Linked DNA regions of Drosophila melanogaster. The protein of the gene in region 2 interacts with the protein of the main gene of each other region in a pairwise test. Each region holds a gene or a part of one and is shown on either strand. Other genes may lie near its edges.

The links. Proteins that work in one complex are often made in the same cells at the same time.
Region 1: the proteins of side-III (region 2) and Surf4 interact in a two-hybrid assay, tested with the Drosophila melanogaster proteins (one large-scale study listed by BioGRID).

The regions. Positions count from the first base shown.
Region 1 is NT_033777.3:15,343,115-15,347,883, reverse strand, and holds Surf4 (surfeit 4), read left to right. Parts: upstream 1-1,707; 5' UTR 1,708-1,924; coding exon 1,925-1,975; intron 1,976-2,731; coding exon 2,732-2,995; intron 2,996-3,060; coding exon 3,061-3,471; intron 3,472-3,533; coding exon 3,534-3,620; 3' UTR 3,621-4,231; downstream 4,232-4,769. Other genes in the region: CG31301 (uncharacterized protein), read right to left, coding at 1-194, 259-420, 479-675, 732-1,090, 1,201-1,579. UniProt on the Drosophila melanogaster protein: Endoplasmic reticulum cargo receptor that mediates the export of lipoproteins by recruiting cargos into COPII vesicles to facilitate their secretion.
Region 2 is NT_033777.3:5,956,535-5,961,173, forward strand, and holds the start of side-III (sidestep III), read right to left. Parts: upstream 3,022-4,639; 5' UTR 2,291-3,021; intron 1-2,290. Other genes in the region: CG11373 (uncharacterized protein), read right to left, coding at 3,948-3,971, 4,256-4,411.

The DNA of each region.
Region 1 (4,769 bases), 9.4 Mb from region 2:
CGGCCACATGACCAGGAAACAGGTGCGCCTTCTGCATGGGTACGTGCACAAAGTAACGATCACAAAACTTGGGGTTCCGCCGAAGCAGGACCTCAGTCAGTATTGTGCCATAGTCGATCTTCTTGGTAATCAAAAGGCGCCGGCTCTCTCCACTCCCATAGCTAGCGGAACGCAAGCCAAATTGTCTGGCGATTCTGTAAAGGGAAATGCCAACATAATAAGCAATTATTTTTTACGATGTGGGATGACGGTGCTTACTGGTGAAGCGTGGTTCTTTCTTCCTTCGAAAACGTGGGCTCAAACTGCATGTCACGTATATCGTCCGATCTCACATAGTTTTCTATAAGCCGTCGGTAATCAGCGAAATTTCCCTTTGGATTTATTAATCCAAGACCATTACGATTGTTCTTTAGCAGATAACTGAAAATATAAAATAAAATAGTTTCGTTTGGTGATACGTTAAAAGTCGAACTCTTACCATACGGGCTCTTCACGTCCCTGCTTCAGTCGCCCTAAGCCACCGCCTGTCCAGCCCATCAGTCGCATCATGCGATATCCCTTGTTGCTGGGGTCCAATTTGGGATCGCACGGACTGTCGGCGGACTCATTGGTGACTTTGATGTTGACGCCGTCCTTGTTTTTTTCCACCTTGATGGTGTCGCGCGTGGCATTCAGCTGTGTAGCGTAGTACCGGGTTTAATAAGGCATACATTATTTCAGAAATTTCATACCTTAATACTATAGCAATAGGACTGGATCGTCAAATGCGCCTGCTTATAGGCAGCTTTCTTGGCCGCCTTAAGGCTCTCCCCCTGTCCTGTCGCTATTACCTCATCATTTACTAATAATTCGGCGTATTTTGTATTATCGCTTAATGGCTGATCTCGGCTGACACGCTCTTCGTACTTGACATTCGCAATGTTGCAGGAGTTTTGCAGGCAGGCTCGTCCCCCAGCCAAGTACACAATGAGCCGACCGAAACGCAGATCTTGATAGAGATCGACTGGATCTCCGCCGCCAAAACACTGGCGTTTTATGTGTGAGCTATCCTCTGGGGAGCTCGTCGAGGGAAGGGGTGGAGCCCGGCGCCCTAGTAGTTGGAATTAGGCATTAGGCTTTGGTCTCTCTGGCTCGTATAGTTACTAGTGATAAAAAGAATCTTCTCTCGCCTATGGGCCCACTAATTGTTCAGTCGTCTACCTTTGGCGCGCTGCTCCGCCGCATCCGACGCCGAGACAAATGTTCTCTTCAGGCGCTGTTCCCGTTTCTGACGGAAATCCGCTGCGATTTCCTTGGACAACTCGGCCACCAAAAGCATCGTCGCGCTTGGATACTTGCAGCCCATGAACTCCATGTTGACGAACGTTTGGGCCAGGCACACCAGCCGGTCCTCCTCAAAACGATCCTTGTGGGCCAGCATGAAGCTGCGTCGCAGATCCCAGTGCTCATCACTTTCGTATTCCGTCTTGTAGCTGTCTACATCCCAGTCCAAGGAAAATTCCCCGGATCCATAGCCGGCATCATCCTGTTTTTTAACTTTGACTTTCTTCTGCTTTGGCTTGGATTGTTGAACGGACATCTTTACAGGGAAAATAAATAGCGTTCAACTTGTCAAATAAAATGAGCACAGGCACGCTTGTTTTTTGATTGCTGCTTTCCCATTCACAGCGAATTATCAATTCGATTGGCCATGTGTTGCCCATTGGCTATCGATAACGCAGCGATAACGATAGGCCCCATCACGGCTATACTTTGTCGTGCGTGTGTGTTTTTAAGTTCCTGCCTTTTAATTCATGATTTTTTGGTAACTTAACAACAATTTGGAGAGCGACGCGACGCCCAAGAAGTCAGAAACGAATTGCCAAAGTGTCTCCACAGACGATTGCCCCAAAGTGAGAGATCGGATCAGCCCAAAGCAGCCAACATGAGCATACCCAACGAGTACATAGCGAAAACGGAGGATGTGGCGGAACAGGTAAGATATATTAGGTTCCACTGCCAAAAAGAAGTCCACCAGGACTCCATATCCACCGCAGGAAGCGTCTTCCCGATGCGCCCCAAATGGCGTTTGCGGGGAAGCCCTGGCAGCTGCAAACTGGGAAAACTGCCAACGTCACCCAAACGCGGCAAAGTTCGAGGGTCTTGGCTGCATATAATCACGATCCGCTGACATGGGGGCAACGTGCTGGGCATTTGCTTCCAATAAGAATCTGGGTGCAACCCAGATGATGGGTTTGCCTTGTACTCCAGTACCGCAATTGACAGTTGTTGCGTCTGCCGCAGGGAAAACTCTCTCTCTCGCTGCTTATTTTCTACCTGTGTGCTGATGCGTATGTGTCTGTGTGTGTGTGCGAGAGAGCTGTCTCCGCAAGTGAAAGTGTTGAAAAAGAAATAGCGGGCAGCTGGACGCCAGCGGCCAGGTCGAGTTCCGTAATAGTTGGGCTAGAAAGCCAGGTGAACTTGCTCGCGATTTACATACATACATGTATGAAGTTACATTGACAGCCGGGCCAAAACCCGTTAGCTGGCAGATAGCAATCGAGAGATACTAGCGTTTAGAGACACGTCACAGCCAGCGGGCGATTTCTAGCGACTACGCGCAAGCCACGCTCAACGGCATTGTATATTTAAATCCCTTATCACCTTGTCAGTAGTCCCCTTATCACCATATCAGCACCCATCCCAATTGCTCTCAACTCAACCAGAACCAATCGAACACTCATTTTTGCAGGTCATCAAGCGCGGCAAAAATGTGCTGCCCACAGTGGCCCGTTTGTGCCTCATCGCCACGTTCTTCGAGGACGGCCTGCGCATGTACATCCAATGGAACGAGCAGCGGGAGTACATGGACATGAGCTGGGGCTGCGGCAAGTTCCTGGCCACCGTCTTTGTGCTCGTCAACCTGTTGGGCCAACTGGGCGGCTGCGGCATGGTGATGGCCAGATTTAAGGTCGACATAGCGGTGGGACTGCTTTTCTTCATTGTGGTGTTGCAGGTGAGTCTGCATTTATATCAGCCAGAAGCAAAAGCCTTGACGTTAACCCGATCCTCTGTTTGCAGACCGTTGCCTACTCCATTCTGTGGGACTTCCAGTTCTTACTGCGAAACTTTGCACTCATCGGAGCCCTACTGCTCGTCCTGGCGGAAGCCAGGATAGAGGGGCGCAGCCTGTTTGCCGGCGTGCCATCGATGGGCGAAAACAAGCCCAAGAACTTCATGCAGCTGGCGGGCCGCATCCTGCTGGCCTTCATGTTCATCACTTTGATCCGCTTTGAGCTGAGCGTATGGCAAGTTATACAGGACATCATCGGCTCCATTCTGATGGTGCTGGTCGTGCTGGGATACAAGACGAAGCTGTCCGCCCTGATTCTGGTGGCTCTGCTTACGATCCTGAACCTGTACCACAATGCCTGGTGGACCATTCCGTCCTACAAGCCACTCAGGGATTTCTTGAAATACGACTTTTTCCAGGTTAGCAGGTTTACAATATCTTTCGCACGAATTTGTGTTATTTTTACGCATTCCCTTCGCAGACTCTCTCGGTGATCGGTGGCCTCCTCATGATCGTGTCCTTGGGCCCTGGCGGCGTTTCCATGGACGAGCACAAGAAGAAGTGGTAGAGGCCAGGCAACGGTCGCTCCTTGAACGAAACACTTTCAACATTTGACTTTTACCGTGTTTTACTCCTTCTGAGAAATGTTAGTTAGGAATTACCATAAAATGGGACAACAACAGGAGCAGCATCAGCAGCACAACACCGGCACGTATAAGAACTTGACAATTTTCAATAAAGGGACTTCCGCAATACCCCTCTCCAATGGCTCACTTATTGGGATCGCCCCAACCCAACTCCAAATCCATTCGCGCACATTCAACGACAAACTTCGACATTTTAAACATTTAGGACATTTTATTTTTGTACATAAAGAACAGGCAAGAAAAAAGTTTGGTCACTTTCGAGCCCACCCCAAATGAGAGACATAACTGATTTTATATCTATGCTTGTCAATATCCATGTTTTTTGCCGATTTTTTTATATGATTTGTACACTCTTATAAATAAGTTGTAACCTTGGTGTTTGCCTTTTGTTGATTGCTAGAAGTTTGAATATGAAAACGATGTATAAAATATGATGTACCAATTGACAATGATTTGTTTCTTTCGTTTATAAGCAAAAGTGTAATAGAATTAAATTGTAACGTTTTAATAAACATAAAGATGAAAAACCGAGACTTGTGCATTTTAAACTTGGCGCCAATTGGCCGATAAATGGTTAATGCTTTTGTTTGTTTACCAGCACTAAGGCACAGCTGACTCGCAACGTCAACAAAGAGGGAAATGCCCATTCTTCGACTACTGGGTACCCCGTACTAAGTTAGCTGCTAGTGAATCCTGCATAACTAACAATAAATAACTTTATTGCAAAAATAAGAGCATAAACCTTATACAAGTAGTACGATTAAATTTTGTAAATAGACACAAAATATAATGATAAAAAAAATGATTAGGCACCGTTTTGAATGGTAATGTTAGTGAATTAACTAAATATAAAACAATATATTGAAAAGCCCTGACCTCTCCAACAAGGCAGTGAAATGTCAACGGCCTCACTTTTTTTTAAAAACTTGAAATCAAATCTGAAAATAGGGATGAGTACATTTGATTAATTTCCAAAAATTGTTGCAATCAGTTCAAATCAATTGCAATACACAATGCACACAAGTAACTTATAGGGGCGGAAGTGTTTTCTGCAGCTGGCGACAAACACA
Region 2 (4,639 bases):
CTGGTTCATCAAATTCCATAAACCCAACCGAATGGAATAAGTTACTTTAAATTTGTAGGTAGAGCTATACCAGACACATTTTCCTACATTTTCTCTATGTAAGCCGGAATTTTACGAGCATTCCAATAATTGGTGCCCGGATATGCAACGCCTTTCGGCGTCCTACTCGCATCGCTTTTGCTTCTAGTCCTTAAAGCTTTCACTTGGGAATCCTAAATCAGCCTTACGATCATAAAACGTCCATACTTCATTCCGATTCTGAGCCCGATTCTCTTCCGTTGCCTTGGAAGCTCACTAGGTCAACACAAATCAGCATAAGCCACACAACTCCACATCGGACAATAACATTTTTATGTGTTAAGCTTTATGACAAAAGGCCAACACGAATGCGAAGGCAGGAGCAAGTGCACAGGGAAAGCCTCAGTACGTGAAAGTTGCTGCAAGTCGGCATAGAAAGTTTACCGATTTGTTTTGGCCGTAATAAATTCGGACAGCTGTAAGCAAGCAACAAATGGGGAATAAGCAAAACAAACGGTCTCGGCCACTGCAATAGTTCAAAGGAAAAGTCAAGGACCCAGGGGCTCGCTGTTGCTTAGGCACTTGGTCCTTTTTTCTGCGTTCCCGAGCAGCGAAGAATCAATCTTTTTCCACAGCTGCTCCACATGTTCCTCGTTTTGCGAGTGCCACTGTCAGAAATGTTGAGCTTGTGTAAACGACCAAGCAGCCAAGTGGGCGTCGAGATGTTCGTTCGGCTTTCTGCCAGCCATTCGCAGTTAACCCGTTATTTACTCAGGATCTGGGAAAACCTATCGCCATCATTTAAGCAAATATTATTCCATTATAACGGAAATTTGAAAATTAATAGACCATCTAGAACTGTTTAAGGCTTAGAACACCCATTTGCATTGTGCTTTCATAAATTAGTAGCAACATTTGCATTCACTATGTAATAAATATAAAATTTGGTACATTTTTCCAAAACAAATAAAGGTTGCAAATAATGCTTACAGAAAAAGTAAGGAAAATGCCCCCGAATGTGGAAGCGAGTTTCTAAATGGGTTAATTCCATTCCACATCCACTAAAAAAAAACGTATTGTGCGTGTTTCTCTGGCTGCACTTGTTTTGTTTTTCTTGGCTTGTTTTTATTTCGTTAATTTTGTTGTTGAGGCATCTGTTGCCCGGCTTCTGTTTTTCCTGTATCTGTATTTGTATTTGTTGATGTGCTTGTGTTTGTGTTGGTTTGTTTGCCCTAGCCCCTGCCAAGTAAAATAATTTTAAATGTAATTCTCGGATGCGCCTACCACTCGGATATGCATCCCATTGGATGTCCTGGCCCACTTGAGAGTGGAGTGTTACTTTTGGCAAATGTCAGAGTGCCTCTACACACACTCCAGATCCACGCTACCCGTCGAGTTTATTTTTCAGCTCATGAACCCCTAAAGTCCTGGCACGGAAATCCCCCTGCTTCTCGAAACCCTCAACCCCCTAACTATGAGTGCACATCTCCTGTTGGCAGGGACATGCATAAATATTATAAAACGTGCTGCTGCCGCAGATAGGTAAGTGCAGATGCCGGCTGTCTGGCCAAAATGCTTAGCCCGGCCCTTGCAAATAAGCCCACTTGCCGATTGTCTGTCCTTGGGCCTATCTGAGCCCGGTTTTTGGCGTACTCTTTGGCTTGTTGTAAGCAGCTTTCATGGCCGGGCTAACTGGCTTAAACCACTTTGTGCAGGAGGCGGCCATAAATTTCGGTCAAATGCTGGTACAAATCTGCACAATGCTTTATCATTTTTATTTTGATTTGGCACTGAGAAGTTTTCCTTTGTTCGAGCGAATTTTATTCAAAAAGGAATACGGGAAATGCCTTTAACGAATGTATATAATTTTTAACTTTGTCTTCAATTTCCCATTGTATAATGGGCTTCGGAAATATTTGTATTCATTTGTTTTGCTAATAACCCTATTCGCTTGGGAATTTTAATTGAAAAATGTCCATAATAACACATTAAAAATGTATTGGTGTTCTGCTGACGAAACAAATACATCGATTCCTTGACCAGTGGGTGGCTGAGCTCAAGGCAATTAATTGCCAGTTAAATGCTATTAAGTGCAGCACGCAGAAGGATTCCATGAATATATTACGCCCGCGACAGCCGATTTAATCGAGAACAAGACGATAAACATTAACGAAACCCGTTTCGAATTGCGAATTAAAGTCGCTTTTCGCTTAAACCGGGATTTGTCATATGCAGAGTCAAATACTTAATTAACTTGCAGTTCCATACGCACTTTTCGAGGACGCGGCAGGGTGCAGAATGTTGGTGGCAGGTGCAGGTGGCAGGTTGCAGGTTGCAGGTGAAGCAATCCGTGCGGCAATCGCGATAAGTGCACCAACAAATGGTTGGCAAATCTGGAGCACTCGCAAAGTCCACAAACAATGTGCAAAAGGTCGCGCGAGTTGGGGACTTACAAGTTTAATAAAGTCATATACACGCACTCCCGATGGCCAAGATGCCAATACACATAATTGTAAGGATGTGTGTATATGTATGAATTGTAGGGGCCACGGCTCAGTCTGACTTTTCCGGCAGAATGACCGACGAACGAAATGTGACCGAAATACACCATCAATTTTTAATATCTATTTAACATTTCAATCAGCGGAATCGCAGCGCTCGCCGCTCGATTCGTATGCAAATTTTAATTAATATTTAATTTTTCATTCATTGTATTTCTGTGTTTTGCCTGCAATTTTAATGACGCATCGCGGAGCGCTAATAAAATTAAATGGCCCAAACAACACAGGACCGATCCACTCACACAGATATTCCGGCACTCACACACTCTCACACAGGCACACTCGACCGAATGAGTTGTGCTTTAGCTTCCTTTTTCGTTTGGCTTGCTTGCTTGTTTTGTGGGTTCCACGCGCCGCGTTTTGCTCCTCCAGCGGATTGGATTTTCGCGTATCGTTGAGCAGAAGACCGTAGCGCCACGTTCCGACACGAATACGAAACTGAGCCACGGCATTGGCAAAAACGCTGCCGAGCACCAAAATATCCTTTGGCTCGGTCGATTCCATCTCGGGGACTTTTGCGCTCGTCGCGCGAAGAGGTCCCTCGGAGGACCAACCTCGTTTTCACTCAATTACCGAATGAAAGTAAAAATGGCACGAGCTCGGCGAAGAGAGTGTATCGGCAGCTTGAGTTTGTTTTGGTTTAAATTGCATTTAAGGAACTGCCAAGGTAGGCCTATCCCAAGCAATTTTACATTCTCGTCCTGCAGGATGATTTTAAATAGAGAACTGTCCATAAGTTGAGTTACAGTTTTATTTACGAATGAAATATCTCCATTATGTTTATCAAATGTTTGTATTATTGACGTTTTTTTATCTTTGCTGGTACCAATGTGACCAAGAACTATCCTTCTTCAAGCTATGAACCCACTAATCATTTTAAAACCATCCTATTTATCTAAAGTTATTCAGCAACTTTTTGTACGTCTTAAGTATCCATAAAAAGGACAGCGGACAAGTTTCTTGACGTTTTTAATAAGCCCCTTATAGTAAAAATAATACCAGTTAACACTCTTATTGACTTAAATATTTTTTTAAGACTCAAAGCCAGCTTCAGGCAAACTGAGATGAAAAGTACCCCTTAAAGAGAAAATTTCCCAACAAGCTCAAACACTACTCTCTTCTCTGCGAGGACAAGCGCCTGCGCTTATTCCAACTTCCAGTCAGCTTATCAAGAAATTATAAGAGTAATTTCCCTTTTGGGATTTATTCGCTTTATTCAGCGCTTTAGACGTCAAAGAATCCGTACATTTTATAAAAAAAGAATATCAGGATTTAAAACGTGGATCCAATTTGGGGACCTGAAATCATAAAATCATAAGTCAACAGTTATTCAAATTTTAATAACTTACCGAATATTTTTAGATATTATTACATCTTCATAATCTTCCAAATCTGTAAAATTTTCAACAGTTAATATATTCAACTTTCTTGTTATCGAAATAGCTGAGTTAAAAACAGCTGTACATTTCTCATTATTGAAAAAGCAATTATTCATAAAGATATTGTTATTGTTATTCAGTTGCCACCATTTTTATAACGTATAATGAAAAGAGGGGATTCAATTACTCATGCATAGGTGTTTGTAATTCAATTAGTCGAATCGAATCCAAACATTAGGATGTAGTGATTAATTCATCGATTATATTCTCATTTGCAAAAAATCTAAAAAATCTTACCCTATCGTGTGCATTTGGCAATGGTGGTCGAACCACTCCAGTTCCTGTGGGTTTGCTCCTGCTGGTGGTGGGATTGGATGAGGATGTGGAGGGCCTGGTCCCCTTTATGCTGGTCAGGGGCCTCGGAGCCGACTTTGCTGATGGTTTTTCGGGCATTTTAGCGGCGCGTTACGAAAATTGTCTGAGACTATTGACAGTAAAATTTACACATGTTTCAATCACTTGTGTGCTACACCGATTGAATTTAATGTGGCCGCCCACTAGATGCCTAGGATATCGAATCAAATTCATATAAAGTCTTTCAGAATGCAAACGAATACACGTCTGACTATGAGTCTGACTTCCAGTCACAGGCCAAAGGGCAGTCCACTCACTCGTCAGTCG